Drosophila melanogaster: one gene and its partner. The protein of the gene in region 1 purifies or fractionates together with the protein of each later gene. This does not show direct contact. Each region holds a gene or a part of one and is shown in the gene's direction. Other genes may lie near its edges.

The links.
Region 2: the proteins of Mtpbeta (region 1) and Mtpalpha purify together in Drosophila melanogaster (affinity purification with mass spectrometry, with the first as the bait; one large-scale study listed by BioGRID). This does not show direct contact.

Annotation. Positions count from the first base shown.
Region 1 is NT_033778.4:23,859,545-23,874,471, reverse strand, and holds Mtpbeta (mitochondrial trifunctional protein beta subunit), read left to right. Parts: upstream 1-5,868; 5' UTR 5,869-5,946; coding exon 5,947-6,010; intron 6,011-6,259; coding exon 6,260-6,419; intron 6,420-6,477; coding exon 6,478-6,652; intron 6,653-6,708; coding exon 6,709-7,719; 3' UTR 7,720-7,824; downstream 7,825-14,927. Other genes in the region: ken and barbie, read right to left, coding at 3,592-3,600; CG5569 (uncharacterized protein), read right to left, coding at 7,892-8,032, 8,087-8,285, 8,699-8,949; Cpes (ceramide phosphoethanolamine synthase), read left to right, coding at 10,124-11,302; TBPH (TAR DNA-binding protein-43 homolog), read left to right, coding at 13,026-13,266, 13,329-13,639, 13,697-13,901, 13,957-14,585, 14,645-14,782, 14,855-14,926.
Region 2 is NT_033779.5:9,562,609-9,578,755, reverse strand, and holds Mtpalpha (mitochondrial trifunctional protein alpha subunit), read left to right. Parts: upstream 1-1,986; 5' UTR 1,987-2,162; coding exon 2,163-2,238; intron 2,239-2,375; exon of another isoform or gene 2,376-2,526; coding exon 2,527-3,254; intron 3,255-3,320; coding exon 3,321-3,461; intron 3,462-3,517; coding exon 3,518-4,287; intron 4,288-4,349; coding exon 4,350-4,986; 3' UTR 4,987-5,183; downstream 5,184-16,147. Other genes in the region: brwl (brickwall), read right to left, coding at 5,791-6,800, 6,862-6,914, 7,003-7,247.

The DNA of each region.
Region 1 (14,927 bases):
AGATAATTGGCGATCAATGAGTTATGAGCCGCTGCTTAACGACCGACTTACGGAAGTTCGAGCTATAGAAGTTAAACTGCAAGACTACTTTATGAAGTTATTAACGAATGTATGTGGAGCATGTGGTAAAAGTGGGGCCAGTGAAATAGAAAGTTGTGGAATGGGAAGTCTGCATCTTTTTGCTTTGGTATTACACAATCCGCCTTTCACCGCCTGTGTCGCCCTCTCTTTCTCCCTCTGTGCCCCCTCTCTCTACCACTTTCCAGCGATTGTGTCATGCACGCACACAGGCGCACAGTGCGCGTTGTTAGAAAAAGGATCGTGTAAAGAGATTGGAAAGTGCTTTCCATAACGGTTTAGTGCGACACATTACTGGAATTTCAGCATGTGATCGTGAGTGTGTGTGTGTGCTGGCATTAACAAACTTCCCATAAAGCAATAGTAAATGTTTACTAATCAGGTTTTTAGGTTTTTCTGTACTTGGTGTTTTTGTAATACTGCAACCCACAATCGTCATACATGTGTGTGTGTGTGTGTGTGCTTTGTTGGAAAAGATGAAAGCTTCACTTCATAGAGCTCCACCGTGTTGTTGTTTGTGGTAATGGTGTTGCCTCCAAAAAAGCTTTCCCGCTGTGATGTGCTGTTGTTGTTGTTGCTGTTTCTTTTATGCGATGAAATTGTTACACTGAAATTCGCTGGCCTGTGCAATTGTGTCGTTGTGCACAGGCAGAAAAATGTGGCATCATGCCATGCTATTATGTATAATAATAACATGCAGGTGAATGTGCCATTCAAATTTGGATGGATCATTTACATGTGGATGAAAATGGTAGGCTTAATACATCAAATTCAGCTTTTGTAAGGTTGAAGAGCTGTTAAGTAAACTACTTTCTAGCCAAAAAAAAAGATGCAAATAATAGAAGTCGTTTGAAAATAATGTAAAATGTGTAACATCGAGCTGCCCTTTCTTTCTGTGTAGTTGACTGTATCTGTGTAAGGTCTGTCGCGTTTGCGTGGAAGTGTAGTGCAGCGGGGCTTTTGTAAGTGTGTGCGTTTGCTGGGGGGCCACCATTATTGTATTGTGCAAGAGCATGGCTTGTAAGCTCTTTTCGGCTGCGCGAGTGTGAGTGAGTGTCTGCATGGCACCACGAAAAGTAATAAACCAAAAAGCGAAGCTAAAGTTCAGCAGCAGCAGCAGATCTCGAAAACGGAAAAAACGAAAAACTTCGGAAAGATAGTCTTGCTTTTTGTTACGCTCTGCTGCTTCTCCCCACCAATCCCCGCTCCAGCCCCCTGGCTCCACCACTCCTTTAGCATGGAGACGAACGAAACGTTCACTTTCAATAAAACTTGAATGACTGGCTTGGCGGAGAGCAAGAGAATGGAAATGGGAATGTTGTATTTGGCTTGGGAATGGCAAGCGAAAGCTGAGCATGGATCTTTTATTTTTCGCTTTTTGCACTGCCACTGAAGAGAGGGCGGGGGAGAGCAGGGGCAGGAAAGGGGGGATCTGGTGTGCTCATTCTAACGCTAGATAAATTCCAAAGCGGTATTGACGGAACATACATATGTATATATGCATGTATCTATGAGTGTGTGTGCTTGTATACTTAATGCTTCCACGAATCAGGGCCATTCACTTTCTACAAGTTTCTCGGCGGATTTCGCAATCGAATCTGAATTTGCTTACGAGCAGAGCATGACTAAAGATCGTTACAGCATTTAAGGCAATCAAAAGGTGAAAGTTCATGGTAATAATTCCTTAAATGGAAGACGCTAGGGATCCGTACGTATGTATGTGTTTGTGTATTTCCCAACATTTCTCCGCTCTCTTCGCGAGACTCACACATTCGCACGCACACTTTTGCAAACTGGAAATGAGAATGAAAGGGACAAGGCGGACATGGAGGAGGGTCGAGGGGAGGGCGATACGAAAACAAAACGCGCTAACTCACAATGCGCGCATAAAATCACCTTTCACAAAAAGCTTTTCTCCTCTCTATGCTGTGTATGTGTGTCTGTATGTCCAACGATCGGGGTATAAGCTAAACAACGAAACACACATAGCGACATACAGACGGAGAACGCAATCGTTTGTATATTTCCACACTTTCCGATTTTTGTCGTCGTCATCGTTCCCATGTAATGTAAATGTAGTTTTACAATTACTCTTTCCCCTGCGCATTGTGGTGTCGGTGTATGGGTTTGTTGGTGTGTGAGTGTGCAGATTGCGTGAGTGTTTACGAATGTAAAGCACATGTGTCTATTTCCAAGTGGAAGAGAATGGCAAGGGAACGGAAGCGGGAGCGGGGGGTGAAGAGGGAAGGGGGAACTGGAAATCGAAATGGAACTGGAATCGCACGGATCTTATCCGATCGAAGGCCTCAAAAGAGAAAGCTACGCGGGGTTTTGAAAGTATTATAAGCTCGCGCAAAGGTAAAATGTTAAAGGGAGCGGAGCGCGCGTTCAAACTCGTTTTCCTGCCCTCTCTGTCTCTGTCGCTCCATCGCATCGCATTCTCTTCCTTTCCCGCTCTCTCCCGCGCTGCCACTGCCCCTTTCCCCATTCCCCTTTCACGAAAGCTCTTTGACTTGCTGATCCGAAAAGAAGCGAGGGAAAATGGCAAAGAGTCGCCGTCGCCGTCGTTGTCTTCTTTCGTACTTGTTGTAAATGCTACACTCGTAAAAGTGACCCAAATTTGAATTGCATAACTCCATAAGCTGGGCGATACGGAGAAAGATAGGAAAGGGGCCCGTGAGGGGTTTGCAATGCGCTAGTTTCGTAGACGCCGTCAACGGATCTACGTTTTAAAATATGTATTTGCCAGATAAGGCGAACAGAACGGGGAAATCAAAGATCTCCTCACAATAGCCTTTCCAAGTTCCCCCACCCCCTCCCACGACCCGTTAAACTAAAATCCCCCTCACGCTGAGAAACCCACGCCCGTGGCTTTGCTAACAGCATATTTTGTAACATCTGCGCGATCGTGTAACCGCATGCATGTGTGTGTGTGATTGAGTGTCTGTGCTTTTTCACCTTCACTCTTATTGGAAAGCAGTTAAGTTGGTCGAGTGCGTGCGCCAATGTACGTACATATGTACGCAGATATGTGTCTTCAAATTCCATGACATGCATACGAGCGCACCAATACACGGACGGTATTACGCAGACAAAAGCACGCGATGAAGGTCACTAAGCCTTTCTTGTCTCCAGTTGTTGTTGTTCCTCTGGGTTCAGTTGTTGTTGCAGTGCTAATGATGTTCATGACGACGAAGATTGGATCGCCACGAACCGAAGCTTCGAGGCAAAGTTTTGGATACGATACCATACGATACGATGCGATGCGATCCAAACCGAGCTTGGAATGTTTTCAGTTTTCTGCTTTTCTGTTTTCTGTTTTCTCTACCACTATTAAGTTAGTTTCTGACCTTGGCTGCTTTGTGTGCTTAGGTGCACAAAGAGCCACAAGCCACACACACGTATCGCAGACCCAAAACCCCAACCCCGACTTTTATCTATCTCAGCGATGTTGCAATGCCCAAAGATGATGAAAATCTCGGGGAAAAGCTTGCTGCCGAACGGCAGACTTACCTCTTTCATTAAGTTGGATGTTCAGCAGTTGGTTAATCCCAGGATGAATATAGTCACTGCTATTCACTTGCGCACTTTCTGTTCTGATCGCCTAATCCCTGCGATCGGCCATTTACTGCTGGCTGCTTGCTTAGTGGAAACTTTCGATTTCATTGACCATGGTTTGTTTATATTTTCACAGGAGCAGATTTTAAAATTTCTCTTTGGCTTTTCCTGCTGCCTCTTCTGCTTTTTATGCGACGCAACGCAAGAAATATCCACCAACACACTGGTAACGCTCGCACAAGCACACACACACTCACTAAAGTTCACTACAACGGCACAACTACAACTACAACGTCAACATTAACTTTAACTAGGTTGAAGTTTTGTTTTTTCTTTTTGTTTTATTGCGAAATAAAAAACTTGATTGGTAAAACTTTTTCTGGCGCGAGCGCGACTGCGAGTGGGAGCGGTACGGAGAATCCGATCTCTTGCCTCTCTCTCGATTTTCGATTTCAGCTTCTGCTTTTGCTTTTGCCTTGCTTTGCTTCGCTCTGTTTGTGCTTACACTTTCAGTTTGCGCGCGCGCACGTCCGTTCACTCGGAGCCTTTTTTTTTGACTGTGCGGGATCGGGAAAGAAATTACGATCGCTGCGGCGCGCTGCTCGGTCGATGTATCGATACCGATATCGATAACAGAAAAGCATTCTCTAAGTCTCCTAAGCTACCTTGTAATTTATTATTTATGTTCCAATCATGATTTAGTTTAATATTAGCTAAAATGTAAAAAGACACAATCAATAAAAATACCATTTATATTATCGATAAAAACAGCAATAAGATCTGTATTGGCTTTTTAGATTTCCATTTGGCGTATCTTTCGTTATTTCACAAGATTAAGATTCACGTCCAACATGAAGAACTTAACTGTAACAAGCTTACGCTTTTGGGCTGACCTTATAGAGGCTCGCGATTTTGACGATTCAGACCCAACGTCGCGTAGACAAATGGCGCTGATGATCAAGAAGTTAGCGGAGAACATTTTAAAATCCGCGCCCACAGTACCAACACCACCATCCCCATCCAGCCCATCGCCGAACGAAAGCAATATTTGAGTGAAGCTCCATTGCCACTGACGTGTCCTGGTCCTGGTTCTGATGACTTCCTACTGGTGGCGTCACCTCCACAGCCCACCGACCAGCAACAACAACAATAACGGTTCCTTACAGTGATCCAGCGATCACGGAGATCATTTCACCTGTTAATATACTTTGTTCACCCACTGTAACTGTCTCTCGCGGAGGCGGAGCTTTGGACATTTCCCGACAAAATGTGAGCTTTCGATTATGTTCTACAACTGAAATAAAAAACTTGTTTAAACTTAAATAAAAAATATATAAATAAAAAGGGTAGAAAATCTCAATGCTCAATTTGCATCTGTACAAACGTAGACATTAATTTTACTGGCATGCTAAAGAAATTTCACCTTGATCCCCAATAAGCCGTCATCCTTCCATTATTTGCTTCCTTTGTAAGTCCTTTACGATCGCTCATTTGAAATGCACACGCCGCCTACATTTGCATCCTACCCTTTGCTATCCCATTATAGGAAACCATTAAATTCGTCCTTGAACCTAATTTGTGCCGTTAGCAATAAAAGCAATCAGTGAAACGAATTTGTATGCAAATCATTGAGAAACTAACAATGGTTCCAAAACGACCTGCATTTTATTCATAATCTATTTAAAGTTTAAATTTAGAAATTTGGATGTACATCTAATATGTAAGATTATACAGTACTGCAAGAGTGGCCTTTGGAAGTAATCCTTTCTTTCGCCCATTTGCATACAGCTAGTTGCCTGCTACAGTTATCACTTGCATTGCGGTTCAAGGACATGGTTAATGGTCTTCCATTGTGGGAAAGGGTATACAGACTGTAGGTGACGAATGAGAGCGCAGATGGACATCGTAAACAGCACGCTTAATAGGATAATCAAGATCAAGGTCATTGGAGAAATCTATTCCTTTATGGGACTCCCAGATTGCGTTGCATACATTTGAATGAAGGTGAATGGTGTAGGAATAGTAAACGATTCTCAGAAGCTAAAAAATTTAGAACTGTATATTCAAATATAACCAAGAAATATATCTAAAGTTGGAAATGAAGATCTACCGAATTTTACAAGCTGTCATGCTTTATGATCTACGAGTAAGATCCTCAGAAAGGGTATTTACAGTTCGAAAGCTTTTCATGCATCAGCTTTCGATAACCGATAGTTCGCCGCGATCCGGCGTTCATGTTCATCACTAGCCAAACAGCTGCAGTCGCAACAACGAGAAAAGCGAGAAAAGAAATCAGAAAACTTTCGCAAGATGAGCCTTCAAAATGTCTGCCGCAAGGGTAACGCCTTCAACCTGTTGAATGTCGCCAGGAAAGGTGAGTTAATAGTGCGGGTGTTGCAGTATGCCCCATTCCAAACACGGGCTGCACCAGTTGGACTTTGGCTCTGATAATTCATAACGATTTGTGGCAGCAGCAGCCGATTGAATCTGAAAGGGCCAAAGTCCAAACTCGAATTCGCAGTGACGTCTTGCGGGACAAAGATAATGTATGGGTACATCATGATTAAAAATAACGCGAAACGAGAGTGCTAAGGATAATCCCGAATCCGGAACCCTTTTTCAGTTCAATGCCGCGCTCTATCGGCCGCTGTGGCGAATCCACAACCGAAGCAGAAGAACAGCCAGAATATCGTGCTCGTGGATGGAGTCCGCACACCCTTTCTGACCTCCGGAACCACCTACTCCAAGCTGATGCCCCATGAACTGGCCAGGCACTCGCTTTTGTAGGTTTACAATCCCCAATATCCTTGGAGTATTAGCTTACCCCGCCCCATTCAACAGGTCATTGCTGCAAAAGAACCGCCTGGACAAGGAGCTCATCGACTACATCGTGTACGGCAGCGTCATCCAGGAGGTGAAGACCTCCAACATTGCCAGGGAGGCAGCCTTGGCAGCTGGATTCAGCAACAAGACACCTGCCCACACCGTCACCATGGCCTGCATCAGTTCCAATGCGGTAAGAGCCTCGCCCAAAGTTCCTCGGAGCTTGAATCTATAGCCCATGTATTACAGGCCATCACCACGGGCATGGGTCTGATAGCCACCAACACCTACGATGTCATCGTTGCCGGCGGCGTGGAGTTCATGTCCGATGTGCCCATTCGCCACTCCCGCAAGATGCGCTCCCTGCTCCTGAAAGCCAACAAGGCAAAGACCCTGGGCCAGCGGCTGGCCCTGCTGTCCACCTTCAGGCCAGACTTCCTGGCCCCCGAGCTGCCCGCCGTTGCGGAGTTCTCCTCCGGCGAGACCATGGGACACTCGGCCGATCGCTTGGCATCCGCCTTCAACGTATCCCGGAGCGAGCAGGACGAGTACGCCCTGCGATCCCACACACTGGCCAAGGAGGCCCAGGAGAAGGGCTACTTCACCGATCTGGTTCCCTTCAAGGTGTCCGGCGTGGACCAGATCGTGGACAAGGACAACGGCATCCGCGTGTCTAGTCCCGAGAGCCTGGCAAAGCTGAGGCCCGCCTTTGTGAAGCCCTACGGCACTGTGACAGCAGCCAACGCCTCCTTCCTCACGGACGGAGCTTCTGCTTGCATTATCATGACCGAGGAGAAGGCCAAGCAGCTGGGCCTCAAGCCCAAGGCCTATCTGCGCGACTTCCTGTTCGTGTCGCAGGATCCCGTCAACCAGCTGCTGCTGGGACCCGCCTACGGAATTCCCAAGCTGCTCAAGAAGGCTGGACTCACGCTGAAGGACATTGACTCGTGGGAGATCCACGAGGCGTTCGCCGGACAGATCGTGGCCAATCTGAAGGCCCTGGACTCCGACTGGTTCTGCAAGACTTACTTGGGCCTGAACGAGAAGGTCGGCACTCCCGACCTGTCCAAGTGGAACAACTGGGGCGGTTCTCTGTCCATCGGCCACCCCTTCGCCGCCACAGGAGTCCGCCTCTGCATGCACACCGCCAACCGCCTGGTGCGCGAGGATGGCAAGTTGGGCGTGGTCGCCGCCTGCGCGGCCGGTGGACAGGGCGTGGCTATGCTCATTGAGCGCTATCCGGGCGCCACAGCCGACTGAAATCGCCAATTAATCGACAAGGAGGAGAGTGCAGTTTAACTGCGAGATTGCTAGCTTTTATACACCTTACAACTACGTCTATACGAATAAAGAAATCTGAATTTTACAAAACAGTTTAATTTCTAACAGAGCACCAGCCTTTCAAACAATCATTAGATGTGTCTAACTAATCCTATTCGGTCTCGTAGAGCTCCTTCTTCCGCAGCTTCGCTTGCAGAATGTCGTTCTCGTTGTAGGACAGGTGCAGCGGGGGTATCAGGGCGCAGGCCACCATTCGGTTCTCGGCATTCAGGAAGTTGAAGGTGGCACATGCCTGCAAAGAGTGCCATTCAATATGGATATAGATCGGGGAGTGATTAATACCTACCTGCTCCGTGCGCAGGATCTCTACGTTTATCTTGTACTTCTTCATGAACTCGATGATCCTCTTGGAAAGAGCTGGGGGCGGTGCTTGGTCGCCAATGCCAATGATAAGCACGTCGATCTTTGGCTCCAGGGTGGGGAAGAGACTGAGGCTGTCCTCGTTGATGTCCTCAAAGCTGTTGACGTTCCAGGACAGAACCGATCTGTAAGTAGTAAAACATAAAATTAAACTTTAGCTTCAGATAGTAACTTATGACATATTAATACTTATAAACAATATCACTATTAAAAGCCATCGAAAGCTTATAACTTAAACAAATAGAGGCTATAAGGTAAGAAGTTATTGAAATAATTAAAATTTAAATTAGCATTCAAAAAGCCTTTAACAACTATTGGTAGTTTTTACATCAACATTTTTTTGTATGAAACTTTAAATGAAGAAGTCATTCTCTTTGACTTTTCCCAATAAATCCTTGACTTCTGTTTAATAAACTCAAAGGCGTGCATAACTAAGCTTGGGATTGGGATTGTATGATCATCAGAGTGCCATGGCATAAATCACATGCACTTGTTTACATAATTGGGTGAGCCAATGCATCCGTCGAAGGCCACCTACCTGGGAAACACGGAGATGGGGCCAATGAGGACCATGTCGTTGTTGAGCCGGAAGCCGTACTGGCTGTAGCCGGTGACCATAAGGCCCAGATCCGTTTCGGTGTTGAAGATGGTGACTTTGGTCTTCCCGTCGTGGTCGTAGGCCTTGCTGAAGTTGGCCGGAATAGCGTGAAGTGGGCGACAGGCGGTGATGCGCGGTAGCAGAAGGTTGCGACCTTGCCGGCCCACCGTTCGCAGGGTGCGCGCAATCATGGTCTTGTGTTAGAAAAGTAATTAATGGCTATTACAACAATTTAAAACTATCAAAATAGACTGAAGTTGAAAAGTTTAACCGGTTAGAGTGACCGGAGGTGCCCAAAGCGCGCGGGCCGAATGTTATCGATAGCGCTGGATTCCTCGCTGGTGCACGATATTTTGCGCGACGCTGGCCACACTGGTCGGCCATTAATTTACGAAATTTACGAACAATTAACATAAACTTTTACATTTATCCGTGTGTTTTAGCAATAACTATCTATCTATGTGCTATTGTTGACTACGTCTAAGTGCCACAGTGTCTGCAGGCTGCAACTCCAACAAGTTGCTCGCATTACCCCATCGCAGTAATAAATACTGCAATGTTTTGATACAGTCTATATTCGTTTTCAATGATTCAGCAAGGCGGTGAGTGCCAATTCCCCCAACGCAATGGCCGCAGCTATCACCCATATCACCTATATCACTTCGATCGCCAATTCCAGCCCATAAATGGTTCCATTACCATATGCCCACTTATCAGGGAGCACCCCTCCACCAACACACGCACGCCCAATGAGTGTGTGTGTGTGTGCTGTGTGTGTGATGGATTGCTGCGTGCACGCACACTCCTGCAGCCAATTAGAAGCCCCGTTAATCGGCATTGGCAGTTAAAAGGTTACTAATAGCGCCTATAATTCCCAGTGCCTCGCCAAAAGCTTCCGCAAATACCTGCAGATAGTGGAACAGATAGTGCGCTGCTTCGGCTGGGCGGGCTGAGGTGGGGTGTGTGTGTGTATGTGTGGGTGCCCAAGTGGGCTGATTTAGTCATCCAGTACCAGTAACTGACCATATTGCTCTATTCTCCCCGCCTCTTTCGTCACTGCGGTCGCTCCCCAAAGTGTCAAAAATTCCTTCGATAAGAACGCATTGCCAGTGGTTAGTTGTTAGCTTTCACTCTTTGATAGCTGAGCATTATTATGATCGCATATACGATTTCAGAATTTCAGAAGGGGATTTCAAAACCCTGCATGTTGCTTGCCAAACTTTTTATGCCGTGCGCGGCTTATCTTGACAACTACTTCGCTTCGATAAACCATATTGATCAGCTTCACTTCTTTCCGCCCCACAGCTGCGCCCTGAAATCAGCCCGATAAGAACTTAGTGTTAAGCGCTACCTCAAAGTGTCACCATGATCGGACCCAGTTCGCAGATCAGCAAGATCCTGCTCACCCTGCTGTTCCTGCTGATCATCTTCTACGTTTTCATGGACGTGGAGCTCTACCTGCGCATCCACAACTATGCCATCGAGAGGAACTATCACACGAATGTCTCGCTGCCCGCCTCCGTCGTGGGTCCGTCCACCTCGGAGTCCGGGTCCGGCAGCATCGGTGGTAGCAGCAGCAGCAGCAGCAGCAGTAGCAGCAGCACCAGTACGAAACTACCCACCGCCGGCGACCGGCAGCCGTCCTACGAGGACCACACCTGGATATCCTGTGATATAAATCCGCTTTGCCATGTGACCGTGAAGGCCATTCTGTTGGACCACACCAACCACTACCTGTTCGCCCCGCTGGCCACCATGTTCGACAACGTGATCGGCTTCTCGCGCTCCACCTTCATCACGCCCAACATGATATCGTTTTTCCATGTGGGCGTGGCCTGTCTGGCGGGCAAACTGGTGGCCTCGGACAGCCTGGGCTATCGGCGGCTGGGCGTGCTGCTCTTCCAGATCCGCACCTTCCTGGACGACCTGGACGGGCATGTGGCGCGCGTGCGCAAGCACATACGCGGCGAGCGCTCGGAGATCGGCACCTCCGGCTACTATGTGGACGGCCTGTGCGACGGACTCGGCTGCATTGCGCTGCTGCTGGGCATATTCTTTTACCTGAAGAACAATCCACCGCGGAGGGGCTACTCGATCATACCCATGAGCGACTCCAAGCTGCCGGAGCCCACCATGATGATACCGAAGATGAAGGCCACCACGCGCAAGGTGGCCAAGAACGTGATCAGCTTCACGGGCCAGCTGCTGCTGAGCTCGACGGCGTGGAATCGCTACATTGCCGTCTACCAGAACATGCTGGAGCGCGAGGACGTGAGCGGCAACCAGTCGCATTGCCAGGATTACGTGTTCAAGTCGACCTGGTTCTTCTGCGTCGCCTGGATGTGGCGCATCGTCAACGTGCACGCCCTGCTGCACTGCGTCCTGCTGAGCATCTTCTGCGACAAGCTGTGGGACTTCCTGCGCGCGATCCGGTACAGCGGTTACATTATCCTGTTAGTTGCTATATGTTTAACTGAAATGCACATTCTGGAGGCCCAGAACTACATTTTCAACTCTACGGCGTGCAGTAATATTTCACTGTGATTTTACTAATATTACGAGAAAATACAATAATATTTGTGTAGTGCAAATCAGCGATGCCTTTTTTAATTGTGTATAAATAATAATGTATCATAATTGTTAGCCAATCATTAATATTTCGAAACCAACTAATGCATTTTGTCATTCAAGCGCGGTCTGCAAGAGCAATCGAAACTCCTTCAGCTGTAAATAATAAATGTTATTGATTAATAAAGTCTAGCTGTTTTTATCGTACGCATTTCCATGGCGAGCTAATTTCGTTTGAATTTATTTATAATGTTTTGTGTTTCGAAATTTCAAATGAACACGATGCGCAATGCTGCCAAGTTTTTTTTTGGTATAGCTGATGGGCAGCACTGCAAGGTTTGGTATTTTATTCGACAGTACCAAATGCCAATATAATTGCCATATTGTAATGTAATATATTGCTTAGATATTCATAGTGGCAATCAACGCTCATATAGTTTAATAAAGAGGCTATTAAAATTTATGTGACAATGCACTGTTTTAACTAAAAATAATACACTTTTAGTATATCTACCCGCCGGCTGGTATTTCTCACTAGCCCTGTTCGGCCACACTGCGCATACGTCAGGCGATACATACAAAGGAAAAGAAAATCAAAACGGAAAGCGAGAAGAAATGCTTCACTCGTCGTTTGAAAATTTGTTAAGCTGTCAATTGTAAATATTACCTGATTCCTATTTCGCACCGATTGAAAGTGGTTGTGCATCGAAGCGTGTGTTGTGTCAAGAACCGAGCGTGGAACGTACAGTGAATACCTGATTTTGCCTGGGTGTGAATCGAATTCGTGTGAGAGAGCGTGCGATCTGAGATCTGGGATCAGAAATCTATATCTACTTGCCATACGCAGTCAGAAATTACAGCAACCAACTAATCCCTGTCAATAGTGTAAGAATTGTTGTGTAACCAACCATCTTTTAGGACCGCCAAACTGCCTCCGTCTACACATTATGTCCTCCCCTCGACGATTGCGTTTGTGTGCGTGTGTGTGTGTGCCACACACTTGCACTCACACACAGACGACAGGATTGGATATTTTCAATTTATGTGGCTTTCATTCATTGATTTTCCAATTCCTGCCGCGATTCCACACTCACAAACGTCAGTTTACTCGTATTAAGTGGGTGAAATATCTGTTTTCTTGAGTAGTTCAAAACATATACATATGTATGCCATACATCGTAAACTTGGGATTGGGTATTCTTCTTTTGTTTATTAACTAAATGTACGTAGAATAGGCATTTAGCCGATGGTGGGACATAAGTAGCGTCTGATTCAGAGAATTTTTAACTAATAATAACGTAAAGAAACGCCTAAACATGAACACTAATAATATATGAATATGTTTGTAATACTTACTAAAATTATATCATCGAAATTACAAGAGATAGAAACATTGTTTATTTGTCGTTTTTAGTAGATTGACCTAGTGTAGGATCCTTTTTGTTTTGGCTTGGTCCCACGAGCAATGTGTGTATAGAGTGGTTCGGGGCAACCTTTTTGTGTTGAATATTGTACCTTGGGATGCATCTGAATAGAACGGATGAACTGAGTGAGTGCATTCATGAATGCAGCGATGCAGAATATGTGGGATGCTTCCGTTGACTGAATGACATGGTGGATCATTTCTAGAGCGAAGTGTGAGCCCCTGCGGCGATAGAGTTCTTTAATCCCCTCCTCGTTTCTAGCAGCCTTCTAGGAAATGGATTTCGTTCAAGTGTCGGAGGAGGAGGGCGACGAGCCCATCGAGCTGCCGGCTGAGGAGGATGGCACTCTGCTTCTGTCCACACTGCAAGCTCAGTTCCCTGGATCCTGCGGTCTGAAGTACCGCAACCTGGACACGAAGGCTGTGCGCGGAGTTCGCTCCAACGAGGGCAGACTGTTTCCGCCCAGCGTGGAGTCCGGCTGGGGCGAGTACGCTTACTTTTGCGTCTTTCCCAAGGGTAAATTCGAGTTGTATGACTCCCTGTTGAACCTTAAATAATTCTGTAATCCCCCCCTGCAGAGAACAAGCGCAAGAGCGACGATAACTTGGAGAACTCAACTGCCAAGACCAAACGCATCGAGACCCGTCTGCGCTGCACTGATCTCATCGTGCTCGGCTTGCCGTGGAAGACCACAGAGGAGAGCTTGCGTGAGTACTTCGAGACCTACGGCGAGGTGCTGATGGCCCAGATCAAGAAGGACACCAAGTCGGGCCAGTCCAAGGGCTTCGGTTTCGTGCGCTTCGGCTCTTACGATGCCCAGATGCGCGTGCTCACCAATCGCCATCTGATCGACGGTCGCTGGTGCGAGGTTAAGGTGCCCAACTCGAAGGTAAGTCCTCTTGTTAGCCCTGCAATTTCACGCCTACTAATCCTTCTATTCTCATAGGGCATGGGCCACCAGGTGCCTTGCAAGGTGTTCGTGGGCCGCTGCACCGAGGACATTAACTCGGACGACTTGCGCGAGTATTTCTCCAAGTTTGGCGAAGTCACTGATGTGTTCATTCCCCGGCCCTTCAGGGCCTTTAGCTTTGTAACCTTCCTTGATCCCGACGTGGCACAGTCCCTGTGCGGAGAGGATCACATTATCAAGGGTGAGTCACTGCCGCGTGGAGAAGAATCAGGGAATTAATGAGACACTTTCCACAGGCGTTTCGGTCCATGTGTCGAATGCTGCTCCAAAGGCCGAGCAGAACAGAAACCAACAGGTCCAGAGCTACAACTACAACTCTGCCAACAGCTTTGGCATGCACTCATACCACCCACAGGGTAACCACATGAATCCGGGCCGCAACGGACACCACCGAGGTAATAACCAACACAATGCTCACGGCGGTGAGAACGCAATTGTGCCCAATAATCACAACATTGGCACCGCCGGCTACGGCATGGGTGGCAACAATTACGGCGGCAACTCGGGCGGGGGCTACCACAACAATGGCGGCAATCACTCCAGTGGCGGGAACACGAACCGCCAGGACGGCGGCAGCCAGTACAACAGTCGCCAGTCGAATTTTCACGGAATGAACCAGCCGCATAACGGCAACGTGGGCGGCAGCAACGGCTGGATGAACCGTGGCCACCTGGACATGCCCAACCTGCAGGCCCTGGGCATCAACTCGCAGGGATCGAGCTCCTCCAACCAGGGCCAAAACATGAGCAACCAGTCAATGCTCAATCTCAACTCATTGCCCATCAATCCCGCACTGGTCGCTGCCGCCTTGAACCAGTGGAGCCTGGTCGGCAACCAGCTGCAGAACCAAAACCAGGACCAACAGGCAAGCCTTCACACCTCAATCATTGTTTCAAACAAAAAACTCTCTCACTTGCTCCGCAGGGCGGCAATTTTCTATCTTGGATGGCTCAGAACGGGGGCCACAACAATGCCAACAACTTTGGTGGACGGAAGGGGCCGAATAACCCGAACAACAATCCGGCCGCCAACGGAATAAAGACCGACAACTCGGAGCCACAGGTTAGAGTCAAAACTGAAACCATCCCCTAAGAAACCTGGATCCCAGCCAGAATCTATTCTACTCTATTCCAGAATGGGAACACCGGTTGGTCGAACCAGAGCAGCGGATCTCAAAACGCCGCGGAGAAGTCAAACTTTCTTTAAG
Region 2 (16,147 bases), on another chromosome or scaffold:
TATAGTTTGGAAAGTTTTCCTTACTACACATATATACAATATTTTCATTACCAAAAGAGGTAAACAAAATTTTAAATTCCATTTTCAACGGCAATTAAATTCGGGGTCGATTAAACGGTTTACCCCCTGTCAGAGGCCACTCAAAAATTTGGTTATTGTTTCTGATCTTTTTTCAAGCCGATTATAAATAATTAAAAGTATAAAAAAAAAAAAAAAACGGTCGCCCGAGGGAAGGGGTTGCAAGTAGTCACTACGGGCAAAGAGTACTCGACCCTAATGGGGGTTTGATATCGACCATAAACAAAACGCCCATTAGTTGTCATGTTGGATGGAAAGTGTGCCGCTGACGCGTGCGACCTTCAAGGATATTCGCACACTCGCCAAGCTGCAGGAGAAATGAGAAATGAGGAATGACTTTGTTTCAAAGGATATTTGCATACATAATTCGAGTGCGGCTGCGCCGAACCCTTGCCCAAATGAAAACATTTAAAATGTTTTGATTTCATTTATGTTAATTTCCAGCCATAAATCACAACCGACCGTGTGCTTCCTGTCGCATCCTGCAACAATATTTGTCCTTGCTGTTTGATTAGCCCTTAGCCCGAACCCTCACTCGCATGCAAATGAGAACTCTGTGGAGTCGCTGGCTTTGCTGCTCATTTGGTGTTATCCTTGGGTGCCGAGGGGAGGAATCGGAGATCGCAAAGGTATTATGCAAATTAACTGATGCTGATCCCATTGTTGCCGGTGTAATTCAATATTCGCGTGAATAAGTGCGCGAATATAGGATATCTAATCTGAGGTTTCGCAAATTCACATTTGCAATTCCAGAGACTAATTTCGAATGCAAATGCTATACGGTGGCAATTTGTTAATGCAGATTTTCGCAAACTAATGAAACTCAAATAGAGGTCTCAATTTATGGTTAGATGCCATATATGGTTATATTCAAAATATAATTATCCTATGTAGTATTACATTTATTTATTTAAAATCAGTTTAAAATTTGCAAAATTTGTAAAATACATTATTGTAGCTTTGTGGATAATGGTTCTTCTGCCAATTGTTATCCATTTGATAAGCCCGCTGATTGGAAAAGGTCAGGTCACTTATGCAGCCATCTACCAGCATTTGACTGACGGACTTTTGCAGTTGACATAAACCGACGAACTCAAGTGTGACTTTTTTGACTCTTCACACATCATAGACGGATCAGCGGAGAAATCAAGACCGCAGCTGCAGCTTCGGGGAAAAACGATTAACTATTTACTTTATAGTACACGCCACATGAAACGCCTGCGTCAAAGGCCACAAAGGCGTGTTGCCACAATAAAGCGCCTGGCGAAATCTCATCCGAACCTATTTAGCAGTGGCCACTTGAAAGGACAATGGCATCGCATCAAATGAGGCGCGCTTAATGTGGCTTCAATGAGTCCTGGACTCGAACTCGGAGATCCGAGGAAGCGACCTGAAAAATGCGAGTGACATGCGTGTCCCGCAAATTGTGCGGCCTGTTAATGGTTCGACCTCGAGTTGTGGGGTGGGTCAGCGTGACAGATTCCCAAAAACAATGTCGTTGAAATATTGTATTGTAAACCGGGTCGAGTTATTGTAAAACTCTGGTATTATATACGATTTATAATTTTGTGTTCTCTTAAAAAAATGAAAGATAACAATAAAAAGGTGATCTACAGAAATCGCTTAAACTAAAAATTACTTGCAGTCTAAAACAAGTACGAAATTATGTTTTATGCGTAAAACATAATAGAATGCCCATATATATATACATTTCTTCATTTTTCTTTTTTGTACTTTTCTTTTATACTTTAAAATTAAAAGTTGCTACAATAGTAACACTAGTTATGATCTCCTGCGCCACCTAGTTAAAAAAAAAACGACACTAGCGACACCTGGTGGATGAGTTTGTACTGTGTGCGGTATTTAGGCTAGTGCTAAAATTTAGAAAATACTTATGGTAGTATATTTTATTGGTACGAACGCGGTCACACTGGGGATGTGCAACAAGTAGAAATTGCCGCATAGTTTTTTATAGCGAATCGCGAACACATAACTAACGGTGCATGATCAAAGTTCGTTAAAAATTAAAACAAATAGTTATCGTAAGCAAAAAGTGACTATCTTATAAGATCGAACTGAGAGCAATGTCGGCAACGAGGTTTTTGAGTGCCGTTGGCCAAATTTCGCGACAGCAATTGCTGCAGAATAAGTGCACCAGAGGTGGGTTAATTAGAAGTTCTGCTATGAAAAGGGAAAGTGCAAATTGCAGGCCATAATTCTTCTACATTGGAATTTGGCCCCTTGGAAATGGGCAGTACTCTAGCGGTATCTCTGTCTCTCTCCCGTTCCCGTGTTAGCTGAATCTCCCCCGATGCCGCATAACTGGACTTTGAACTTTGTACTCTCCCTTGACGTATAGCTTCTGTCTCTCGCTTTCTGATTTCCGATTTCGAGTGCCGTGAGATAATGTGCACTAATCGCAAACAACAATCTCTTAACCCCACGCAGCCCTGCCCATTTCGGCCCAGCTTCTCCAGAGGCGCCGCCTAATGTCCACGAATCCCGCACCGGTTGCCAACAAGCATCTCCACACCAAGGTGGTCAATGGAGTGCTTGTGATCAAGATCGACTCACCCAATGCCAAGGTGAATTCCCTGGGCTCCGAAGTGAGCGATGAGTTCGAGCGAGTGATTAAGGACCTGGAGACGAATCCTGCCGTCAATTCCGCCGTGCTGATCTCGGGCAAACCGGGCTGCTTTGTGGCCGGAGCCGACATCGGGATGCTGGAAGCATGCCAGACGGCGGAGGAGGCCACGCTGATCTCCCACGGCGCCCAGGTGATGTTCGATCGCATGGAGCGCAGCAAGAAGCCCATTGTGGCCGCCATCAGCGGAGTCTGTCTGGGTGGTGGTCTGGAACTCGCCCTTGCCTGCCATTACCGCATTGCCACCAAGGACAGCAAGACCAAACTGGGTCTGCCCGAGGTCATGCTGGGTCTCCTGCCCGGCGGCGGTGGCACCGTCCGCCTGCCCAAGCTTACATCCGTGCCCACGGCTCTGGATATGGAGCTGACAGGCAAACAGGTGCGCGCCGATCGCGCCAAACGACTGGGCATCGTGGATCTGTTGGTGGATCCCCTAGGTCCTGGACTCCAGCCTGCTGAGCAAAACACTATCGAGTACCTGGAGAAGACCGCCGTGCAGGTCGCCAACGATCTGGCTAGTGGTAAACTTCGCGTAAGAAATACTAGTTAATCCCTTAAAGTCTTCATCATTAATTTGTTTTCCACCGTATCCACACAGGTAAATCGCGAGAAAAGCGGTCTCGTCAGCAAGATCCAGTCCTTCGTCATGGACACCGACTTTGTGAAGAACAAGATTTTCGACACTGCCAGGAAACAGGTGCTCAAGGCCTCGAACGGTCTCTATCCCGCTCCTCTGAAGGTTCGATATTGAACAAGCAATTCTCATATTTGTAAGTAACCTATAACTTCAAACAGATTCTCGATGTGATCCGTGCTGGCGTGGATAAGGGAACCGATGCCGGTTACGAGGCGGAGCGCAAGGGCTTCGGCGAGCTATCGGCCACGCCCGAGTCGAAGGGTTTGATTGCCCTGTTCCGTGGACAAACGGAGTGCAAGAAGAACCGATTTGGCAAGCCAGAGCGTCCGGTTAAGACTGTGGGTGTGCTGGGAGCTGGTCTGATGGGCGCCGGTATTGTACAGGTCTCCGTCGATAAGGGATATCAGGTGGTGATGAAGGATGCCACCGAAGCCGGCCTGGCTCGTGGTATTGGACAAGTGCAGAAGGGTTTGGAGACGGCTGTGAAGCGCAAGCGAATCTCTGCACTGGAGCGCGATCAGACTCTTGCCAGTCTGCGGCCCACTCTTGATTACAGCGACTTCAAGAACGCAGACATCATCATCGAAGCTGTTTTCGAGGACATCAAGGTTAAGCATCGAGTGATCAAGGAGCTGGAAGCAGTGGTTCCAGAGCACTGCGTCATTGCCACCAACACCAGCGCCATTCCCATCACCAAGATTGCTGCTGGAAGCTCGCGTCCCGAGAAGGTTGTTGGCATGCACTACTTCTCGCCCGTGGACAAGATGCAGCTGCTGGAAATCATCACTCACCCAGGAACCTCCAAGGACACCATCGCACAGGCCGTGGCCGTCGGTCTCAAGCAAGGCAAGGTCGTTATCACTGTTGGTGACGGACCTGGCTTCTATACCACCCGCATCCTCTCCACCATGCTGTCGGAAGCCATCAGGTAGGTTTGCATTTTAAGATGACTAGTGAAATTGTTTATTATACTCCCATATTTTATGTCAGACTGCTGCAGGAAGGCGTGGACCCCAAGGATCTGGACCAATACACGAAGAAGTTTGGCTTCCCCGTGGGTGCTGCGACCCTTGCGGATGAGGTTGGCATTGACGTGGGTTCCCACATTGCCGTCGACTTGGCAAAGGCATTCGGCGAACGTTTCAGCGGTGGAAACTTGGAAGTAATGAATGATCTGGTCCTGGCTGGTTTCCTCGGACGCAAGTCCGGCAAGGGTATCTTCCTGTACGATGGCCAGAAGAGGGGCACTCGTCCAGTGAACAACGATGCTCTCGAAATCGTGAAACAAAAGTACGCTTTAGTCTCAAAGGGAGCCAATGCCCCCGAGGATCTGACGCTGCGTATGGTATCCCGCTTCATCAACGAAGCCGTGCTCTGTCTGGAGGAGAAGATTCTGGACAGTCCGCTGGAGGGCGATGTCGGAGCCGTGTTCGGCCTGGGCTTCCCGCCATTCTCCGGTGGTCCCTTCCGCTGGGTCGATCAGTATGGAGCCGGCAAACTGGTCAGCAAGATGCAATCCTATGCTGAGCTGTACGGAGCTCCCTTCAAGCCCGCTCAGACCCTGCTCGACATGGCTAAGGACCCGTCGAAGAAGTTCTACCCCAAGACTGGCTCCTCGAAGTTGTAGATCCGATCCAATCCGATCCCAGCCTCCGTAGAGCCGCTAACGAAATTTAGCTTTTAGTGCGAAGATAAGTCGTGTCCTTGTGCATTTCTCTCAGAAAGGAAACCTATTGTGGTCCATCGCTGCCTAAAAAATGGGGCAAGGCCCAATAAAAAGCCCTCTGTTGAAGTTGTCGACAATTAAATTAAAGTTTACCGTGTAATTTTCCATACTTTCATTTGTTTATTATTACACACAGCAGTTTGATATCGATCTATCTCTTTATCCCTCTTTGTTTACTCAAACGGAAATTCATTTGTACACAGATTCTATAGTTTAGGTTTCAATAGCAGCGTATATACAGTGTCCTTAAACTAACATATTTTCGAAGCAGCCATTTTCTAAAATCTTGAAATCTATTTTCACAATTCCTTAACTGCTACGTCAGAACTAAATGGCTTATAAGGAGACCTCATTACTTCTTGTTCGTTGAATGTGTTCGATTTCGGAATAGCTTTAAATGTATATATTAGTTGTTCATATATATATGTATATATTTGGTCATGCAAGTTCTTGCAGCTCTTTGTAAATGGACCATTCATAATGGTTGGTCAAAATCGAAACAATTCGCGGACTTGAAAGAATTGAAGGCCTTTGAAAACATACCCATCTTATTGAGTAGACACAACACATTAACAGTGAGCGGACTGAAGTAGCTCAGATTCGAATTAGTACCCATTCCAGCTTCAGATCCCCCTTAAGCTTCTAACTAAACTTATCCTATCCCTAGTTAAGGATTAGTGACTTTCCGATACACTTTCTATTCCTTTATTGTTTCCTCCAATCGCGTCCAGAGCTGCGCCTTTGATGCTTAACAGATCCCCCATTGCTGCTACCGCCACTTCCGTTGACTACGCCAGATACGCCTCCTCCGTTGCTGTGATCCTGGGCGGGATATCGGGTTACAACGTCGTCAATTAGCTCCAGAATGCCAATCTTGAACTTGCGACGTTGCTGTGGAGTGAGAGTCGCCAGATCTGGGAGAATGCTGCGGAAGAACTCCATGTCCGCCACTTCCGACGAACTCAGTCCGCCGTAAATACTTCCTGCATTCGTCATCGTGCTGGTGGCCTCGCATTCCGTCTTGATTCTTTTCGTGCTCCCCGGTTCGTAGGATGCTGGGTGATGATCCATGGACAATGTCAAAGGATGTGGATGCGAGTGCGGATGGTAGTGCAGAGGCGGTGGTGTGCCATGTCCACCATCGCTGTAGATGAGTTGCGAGCCCGTCTCGGCCAGCTGCACATCTGGAATGAAGTTTTTCATGCTATCCGCACTAGCGGTATCGCTTCTGGCCGGTGAATTGCCTCCGCCTCCTTGAAGGGCAGAACTGCGAGTGGGCGTGGACGAAGTACGATTCATACCCAGGGTGTTGGTAACCGCGGGATCAAAGGCGTCGATGGTCTCCTCATCGTCCTTCTCCGATATCGAGTACTTCATCTCCAAGACCTCCATACTCTCACCATTATGGACGTCGTTGTTATTATTATTATTATTGATGCTAGTGTTGGCGCAGTACTTGTGCTCCTCGGTCGCATGGAGTGCTGGATGCAGGAGAAATGGTTGATGCTGCAAATGCTGCTGGGACATCTGGTACAGAGTGGCCAGACTGTTGTTCCCCTCCAAAGAGTTACGGCTGGACTTCAGGAAGGGCAGCAGGAACGCCATGTGCTCGGTCAGGTAGTATGGCTTGTGCTGCGGCTCCGATCCGGATTGCTGCTTTATGTAGCGGGATAGGCAGGCCCGAAGGTTTCGCCATCGCTCCTTGCAATGGATCACTAAAGATTATGAAAGTTCTGATTAATTTAAGGGATTAATGTTTTTCCTATTATTGCTTACCGCTTTCTCTTGTCTCCTTTGAAATAAGCACCCAAGCCTTTTCCTGATTATCCCTGTAAAAAGTTATTTAAATTAGTTAAGACTGAACGTACGGAACGATCTGGATCGTATCTTCTGGCAGCCGATGGACTCGCCACTCACCTGTTGCGGTACTCGGGCACCTTCTTGTCGTAGAGACACTTGTGGGTGCGCACCAGGTTGACGAAGCGGATGTTGAAGTCCTCGTCCGCCTGCATCACTCGGTTGGTGGATCCAATAGAGGCGCCTGCTGTTCCGGATCCCGAACCCGTTGGACTGTGGTGGTTGTAGGCGGTGGTGCCGTTGGAGGTTCGCTCCTCGTGCTCGCTGCTGTGGTTGTTGCTGCTGCTGCGGGTTGAGGTGGTCATATTCGTTGGCGGTATCGTCCCTCACAGAGCCACTAAAAGATACGTTTTAAATTTGAAGTCTATTTAGAGAAATGTTAAAATAAACAGCGATTACCAGGGGTTTGAACGGGTTTGCTGTCATGTTGCACGTTATGATCTCAAGAAATGGCAACTTCAAGTTAAGTTAGCCACTCCAATATTTGATTTTTAGACTTTCCTATCGATGTATGTATGTACCATACATACATATGTATTTATATACAATCCTATTTATTTTTGAGCTGGCAAACAAACAGAATTCTCAACGACTCTTTTTCAGCTTTTTTGCCTTTTCTGCTGGGGTTTTGTGTTCGGTTTCTTTTCGTTTTGTCGTGTTATTTGTTTGTGTGTTGGTTTCTGTTCAGTTCGGTTCAGTTGTGTTCTGTTCAGTTCTGTTCCGCTGTCTGTTGCTGCTGTCTCAGCAAACGAGGCATAGAGCTTTTCGCTCATATATATTTCGTGAAACTTAATAAAACATTGTTGTAGCCGTGGCCGTTGTTGTCGTTGTAGTTGTAGTTGTAGCTGTAGTTGCCATTATATTCAGTACAGTTTGGCTAGCTGGATAGGATAGGAAAGCATTGCGTTGCGTTGATGTTGACAACTCGGCGGCGAAACGACGACAGCCAGCAACTTTGTTTACTTTTCATATTATTATAGCCACAGCAGCGACAATGGCAGCGGCCATAAAAATAACAGGCAATCTGGCTGTTTGTGCTGCTTGTTTGTGTTTTTGTTGCCGTTTGTTTCTGTTGCTGTTGCTGCTGGCGTCGAAAGCTGAAAGCTTTTGTCTGCTTCACTGATAACAGCAACAACAGCACAACTAAAGCAGCAGCAACAAAACAACAGTAACAACAACAACAGAATGCTTCAGCAACAACAGCAACACTCTGCTGCAGCAGCAGCAATTCAGTGCAGCAAGCAATGTTGTGTTGCAATATCCGAAAACATGTTGGCCAAAACCAAATCCGCTGAATAGTCACGAATATGTGTGCGAGTACCCACCGCACTCACTGCTCACTACTTGCAAACGATTCGCTCTCGCACCTGCGACTACCTGTTTCGATTCTAATCAGCCCACTCCACCTGTCCATTCACTCGACTGCCTACCCTTTTGCCGTCAGCCCCTTTCTATCGCGGCGACACTTGGGCCGCTCTTAAATCTCCGACAGTTTTCCCGCCACTTTCAGCACCTTTTGGGCCCACCAGTTTTGCAAAGCGAAAAACGTGCGCACAGTGGGATGGAAGTAATCGAAAAAGGGCATTACCAAAAGTATATCAAGGAAAAATATAATAACAATTTCCACATTGCTTGGAAACCTATTAGATGGTATTTTATATGTATATATATATTTTTTGGACATCTGTAAGTAAATCTCTGGAAAATCGTAGGTAATAATTCCCTTCAACTATTAATCTTAATATCAGGTTCAGAGTCCAATAAGTTTTCTATTTTTTCGGACATAAAAAAGTAGCAAGAGAAAACTCTAGCACTCTAAGCTGAACCAAACAAAAAATTAATATTGCTTTCCATTTTCGTAACACTTTGGTCCCACTGTGCGCTGGCAGCATTGTTGTGTTCTTTGGCCAGTCATCATTATTATCAGCGAACATCATTATCAAGGCGAACGTTGCTCGCGTGTTTTGGCTCTGCCCGTTGTTGTTTTTGTTAATGTTATTGTTGGATTGCTGTGTGCGGTGTGGGCGGGGGGAAAATGGAATGGAATGGGAATGGCGACTGGAAGGGGCAGAAAAACAACTAACCTGGGCTATATGGCAATATTTATTGTATTACGTCTATTTAACATAAACATATCAGCATGAGCGCGTACTAATTCCTTGAGAAATGTTCATGTTTATCTATTAACAACGGGGCTCAGCAAAAAGTACAGCAACGTACAAATCGAAAAACACAGAATCAGCAACAGCCAAACACAAAACCCAACGGAAAACAAAAACAACAACAAAAAAAAAGAATTTATTTCTAAAGCTAACAAAACACAGAAAACTTGCAGAAATACCCGGCCCGCTCTTTGTTTCCCTCCACCAACAAAAATACATACAGTATATTGTATATTCCGTGGCCCAATGACAGCAACAACAACAATCGCAATAACTTTGTTAGATAGACAACAACAACAACAACAATACACACAATACACACACACATTCACAGGCAATCGCACACAAGGAAACAATATGGCATATAGAATTTTTCTTTCTGCTGCTTATCAGGCTGTTATTGTTGCTGTTGTTCCTAACTTGTGATGTTGTTCCAAGCAAAGAATTCATTACCTTTTGGTTGGTATTCGTCGTTGGATTACAGAAAAACTCCTGTTGCAGAGGCGATTTCAAAACGCAACAACTCCTTGCTCGCAGCGATTTCAAAACGACACGATGCACGGCACACAAATAAAACGGCGCCAAAAATATTTTTGTTGCTGCTGCTGCTGCAGCGACCGACGACTGACGTAACGTTCAAAAATGTTGAATTCGAAAACTCGCGGTCGAGTCGACGGTGCACGGCGCTCGGGAATCGGCGGCGGACTGTTGGATTGTTGGCAATGTCGTATGTTTCGCGTACCAAGCGACCAAGGCGACTAAGCACACAGAGAAAAACACACAGACACAGCCACAAATGCGACTGCTGCCCTGCGAGAGCGAGCGGTGCACTGAGAGAAATAGAGTTGTCACTTGGCAATTGTGAAATGTAATATAAAGATGTTTTAAATTGGTAATGTATTATTAGCCCCAAACTTAATTAAAGGGAAAAATATAAAATTATTTGCAGACTTTATTAATGATCCATGTAAGCGGTATTAATTTAATAGTTATGAGGTTCAAACAAGTACCAATTAAACACGTATTCCCTCAGTGTATCAACCAGTATCTATCGGCTACGTAGAACACTGAAGCAACAGCAACAACATGACACGAGTGGACGGCGAGCAAACAGAGAACAACGCACACTCTCCGCCGCACACACACAGATACTAACACGGACACACACCAATGCGCCAATACAAACACACACAGCTGGCTGCTCAACAGCAGGGAACTTTTTATTGTTGTTGCTGGCAACGAACAACAAATAAGACAAACAATGCACACGCACACGAATGACGAGTGTTTTCGAGTCGGAGAAACGGCAACTGCGCGGTACGAAATGCAAAGATACAGATACAATGAGTTGGTTGTCGGTTGTGGAGGGTAGGAAAGGGACACAGGCCAACAAAAATAGTTGCACTGCATCAAGAGTGTTGCCTGTCGTTAGAGGCTAGTCACCCACCCCGAAAGGATCTCTCAAAGGATCAGCGGACTACTAGGTAATCCTGATCGAAATCGATTGATTCAAATGGATTTTCAAAAGATATATCATGTTCAAGATCTTTTTGTTGGGCAATACAATTTTTACATATGTATGTTGATTGTTATGTTGAATATAACTTCAGGCTTATTATTACTGTCTAATGGTAATGTTTCTATTTATTTCCACGTCCATTAACATGTATAATTGGTTTTCCCCAAAATATGTTAGTGAACAGGTGACAGTCGCAAATAGAAAATACACATTTTTTACGCTGTAACTCTGACAAAAAAAATAAAACACAGGAACCCAAATAGTTTACCTGAAAACTTACCTGCGAATTTCCAGTGATCATAATTCCATTGTGCGCTTCTTCTTCTTCTTTGCTCTAACTCTCAGGGAACATTGAAACAACAACAGTTGCTTACTCAGCACCGCACACAAACATAAACTGCGCTCTCACGGACACTACAACAGCTGTCGCTCTCAGAACCAACAACAAAGCGAGCAAACAAAAATCATGTTGTTGTTGCTCACAAAGCTTTGCAATTTCTCTGCCGCTAACATCGCTGCTTTTGTGTAGTTGTTGCTGCCGCCCGAGTTGCCAACAAGCTTTCCAACAACATTTGTTTACATTTCAAATTTATTAGGCGAGCTTTTCGGACATTTGAACAAGCTTCGTGGGCTACTCGCTAGGTGGCGCATGCTACTTCCGGTATAGATTTGAACAGCTATTTTTTTTAATTTACTTCAGAAATAAAATAAGCATTTATGCATATTTAAATATAAATAGATAAATATACCTGTTTCAGTTTCGTTAGAATGCACAATTTACTCTTGACTAAATGACTTCCGAGCAAACAAAATATTTAAACAATATTGTTAATAAAAAATAAGAAATGATTACTTAAGCTCTTACGTTTCCCTCCAACGGTCATTTGATATGTCATTATCCAAACACTCATATTGTTATTCACACGCGAAAAGCTCGACAAAGCTCAAAAGGACTCACTCCTTAGGCCAAAACTGTCAGGGTTTATGTATTCCGCCTGACAGCAGACCACCAACCCAGTTATTTCCAGCACTTTAACGATTTGTTTACAACTTTGTTGCCCTGCAATTTACCGCTAGCATACGGACCTGCCAGCCAGCCCAGCTTTTCACCCCTTTCCGACCGCTTGGAAAAGCTTTTCTCGGCGGGCAGGATGTCTTGTCCTGCGTGTGCTCAAAAATTCAATAAAAAGGAGGCTCGTTTCTGTTGTGGCCTACATGCCACAGCAAGGACGAGCAATCGGTTACCGAGCCGAACGCGGCCCGAGGAAAACTTGGTCACCGGGTGGGTAATGGGAAATGGAAAAGGGCCGAAAATGGGGGCGGGTGGCGAAGCAAGGAGCAAGGAGAGAGCTTCCAAGTGCAGCGGAGCTCAGTTGCCATAGGACAGTCGAGGCGAGTGCTCGTCCTTGGTCGCAACGGGCTCCCGGAAAAGCGGTCCATCGGCTGTCGAGTGTCATTGTTTTGGTTACGCGACTGCCCCGCTAGTGTTGGTGACCATCTGTGTGCGCTTAAAAATATATTCGACATGAATTATTTACGCAAAACGAGTGCTGGAAAGTTTTGAAAAGTGCGGAGAACGAGTGCGGAGTTGAGTAAGCGGAAAGTTTTGACTCGAAGAACACTTTGTCTGACAATTTGCAGCGGCATCAAGGATGCAGTCTCCTTTGCACTGGGATGAAGAATGCATTTTCCGAAGCGCAGTATGTGACTCTTTCTCTTTTCAGTGAAAAACCCCCCTCCATTTTCGCGCTCTGTCGCTCTCTCTCTCTCTCCCGCTCGCTTCCTATTGTTTTTCTCAGAGTGTAGAGTTTCGATTTCGTTAGAAAATCGAAACAAAAGCGAACCAGGCTCTCGAGGAATTGTGGGAGTCGTTGCTGCGGCTACCTGTAGATGCCACATAAACACACACAGATACGAGCGCAAGGATGCGAGTGTGTGCGAGTCCTTGAACGAGGCTTTCGGTTGCCCACCCACATGCCACATCCGTATCCGTATCCATGTCCATGGCTGCCTTTCACTGCCCGCTTCCGACTCTAATTAACTTATGATTCAAGGTCCAATACGCTGCCACTGAAGGTTAAACATGACGACCCAGCGATTTTCGGTGGGGGTTTTTTCGTAAGAAACTTTTAAACAGCCCGCTGGCAGCTGTAATTGAGCGAATTCCGCGGAAGCTGCACTAAACTTTTACCAAGAATCGGCAGGAGTCAAGTTTTTGCCGCGACCTAACTCGAAAGTCGTGTAATGCGATAAAGTGGAAACTTAACCAGGGATCATCTAGTAGTTAAGCGCACACAAGTCGTAATTTTATTTGGCTGCCAGGACCCCAGAGACTCGTCGGCAATTAAGGCTGGCCAAACAATAAGCCACTGGGCGAAAACCCAAAAGGAACAAAAAAACAATTAACGTTCTAGAGTGGAAAACCCGCATTACGCATACGCCACGTCGGCAGTCTGGCAACTTTGAGGTGCGACCTCCGGGGGCTGTGGAAAAGTAGCGGGGGCGCCGGAAAAGCTCTTTCCCGCTGACCACCGGCGGTGCCATCATACTCTCTCACCTCCCCGAGAAAAATCCCGCCCCAAAAAATGCAGCAGAGAGCGGTTTCTTGCCGCTTTTTTTTTTTGTTTTTTGGCTGCTCCGCCGAAAAACATTTTCATTTCTCGCCTGAGCAGAAATTTCAATGATTTCCCTAGCTCAGTGTGAAACGAACCAACAACTCAAACGAAACGAACGCAAACGCGCGCGCGAGAAAAACAAACTAGAATAGAATAGAAGAAATTAACCTCTCCGCCGAAAAGGGAAAACCCCCAAAAAATATATAAAATAACACACGAAACGCTGAGGTCGGGGGCCCTAACCCAATGCTAACTGTAAACAATAATCGAACAAACGAATTTTTAAATTAACAGCGAATGAGTAATACCTGAGCGATTTATTAATCAGAAGCCGTGCGAGCAACAAAGAATCCACAAGTAGCTGGCCCACGGATAGATAAATAACTGCACAGATAATTGCTGGTACACGGTACTGGGCTCTATAAATAGCATCGAAATAATCGCGGAGACAATTGCAGGGCACTGGTGCAAAGTGAATGCGACTGAGTGCTGCCGGGCGGAACGCCGAGGATCTGTGAGTAGATAGAATAATATCCCCCAAAACCGCCGCATCCCGATCGCCTGGCTGCGAAATCGAAATAACAAACTTCAGTCACCTTGCGTTCTGCGTCACACACTCGGATACTTTGGGGAATGGGAGTCGTGTGGCATGGGTGTTTGCCTTCTCCATCCTCGCAACTACAGTAGAGCTTCCATGGCTTCAGCTGCACCTATTTCAAATGTCTGAGCCTATTTTGTATTGTAATTTAACTACACATGCTATTTATTTTCTGATCTTCCTGGTCAAATATGATATATTAATTAGTTTTTTAATTATCAATTCAAATTTTTATAGAGGTCATTAAATCTTCTAGTTCTCAGCACTTCTTCAATGGGATATTTATTTATATTTATTTAGCATAAAAGCTTTAAAGTGTACACTCAGTGTGAAGCTTCACTGTATTTGCCATTTGCCGTGTTGTTACTGCTGGTACTGGTACCACACGGCGTATGGGTGATGGCGAGCGGGCCAGCGGTTGGATGAGTGGTGCACACTTTTTATAGCCAGCAACAGTCACACAAGCCGCACAATCAAGCGCTCGTCTCGGTGTTTATGTCAATTTGAATTTTGCATGCGGCCAACAAACTTGAATGTGTCCTTTATGTTGGTGTTGTTGCTTGCGTTCTGAAATGTATCGGTAGGAAAAGGAGGTGTGGAAATGGGGGGGGGGTCGGTTTGGGGATACCGGAAGCTAACTAGAACTGCGCTTCATTGCAACTTTGTGTGCGACCTTTTGGTTTTGGAATGTGTGGGCAGTGGGCGGGGCACTTGTCGGGCGGAAACGGATATCCCGTGTGCTCTTTGCCTAGTTCGCCATCGCCGCCAAGCGCGTCTCCTGTTTGTCATTTCATCAACCTTCTTCTGGCTCCTAGCAGCTCCTCCTTCTGGTGTCCTTGCACATTTGCTGCGCAGGAAATTTTAAATCGAGTATGTGCCCACGGGTTGTCTGGTTGCATTTTGCTGTTTTTGCGGCTTTCTTGTTTGCTCTGCTTTCTGGGTGAGTCCTGATTTTTTTTCGGATTTCCCATCCTGTTGGCCACTGGGTCAGATTTGTTAGTTCACAAAGTTCACAACAGACGCAATAAAAGGAATTTTTAAAGCCACATTAAGATGGAACTGAAACTTTAAAGATTTTTCAAAAATTGTTTAAAAGTATAATTTTTCCGCATTTTTAAATGCTCGATATTTTTTGCAGTGTGTCGCGTTGGGTCGAAATGTATCTTCTACACGGCAGCAGAAAGAAGCCAATGCAAATAGCCTGTCGGGGGAACAGACCCACAACGTAGAAAAGAGGCGGACTGGGGGAATTGTTTCTCCGGTGGCTGGACTGCTCCTGTTGCATATCCCGTCTCCTGGACTCGTCCTGCCACTCGGTGGCTCGTGTGTCCTCCCCCGCTGGGCCTAGTTGCTCATTCTGGGCGGCACAACTTGCATATTTGCCAAGATTTATGTCTGCTGTCAGACACACGCACACTCATCCACACATGGACTTTATGTAACAGCTCCCAGGAGCAACCTAATTTCCGTTGCCGCTGCTGGTTAAACAAGTTTCAGCCACTCATTGCACATCCTGTGGCCCCTTGTGAACTTACCAATCGGTGTCGCCACGCAGCAGGATGCCGAACCTACTCCGGATTTCGGATTTTAAATTCCAAATTCTCGACTAGAGGAAAAATCTGTGAGTTCGCGTATCTGTGCCAAATGGTTGGCCTAACTGGCAGCATCCACGAGTGCGGTCCTTGCCTTCGAGTTTTAGTGTTATTGTTATGCCTAGTTGGTGTTGTAATCCTTCGGCCTTCACTCCCACCCACAGGCATAAATACATGCCGGTATTAGGGGCTGCTACATCCCATAAACACCTAACGTCGGTGCTGATGTCGATTGCTGTTGTCTCCCCCGACTTTTTGGCTTATCGCGGACATCCAGAAGCACCGGGGTTTAGGATGGCCACTGCCCTATCCGCACTTGAGGATAATAAATTAGGAATTCAAACTTTTCGTAACCAAATGCAAAGAACTCAGAATCAATTAAGTATAACAATCATAACAAGGTGTAAACTAATGATAGCTTTTAGTTGAGTGCCTTGTACCACCAATCGGATTCACCTTACTATAATTCATATTCAAATTTTCATAGACAATAGTCGGCGGGCACTATTGTTTCGCCCGATGGTGTAGATGTATCTCAGTGTGAGTGCGTCGGGCAATTTCCCTGCGTAAGAGTGTTGGTTGACTTCAAGCAGCCTCAAGTTGCTGTCGCTCGTTGTTCTCGTTATTCTTATTATGTCAACCACCCAACCACTCCCCCTCATAACTGCCATTTGCGTAAGTGTAAGTGCATAGTCGTGTATGAGTGTGTTAGGTGCATG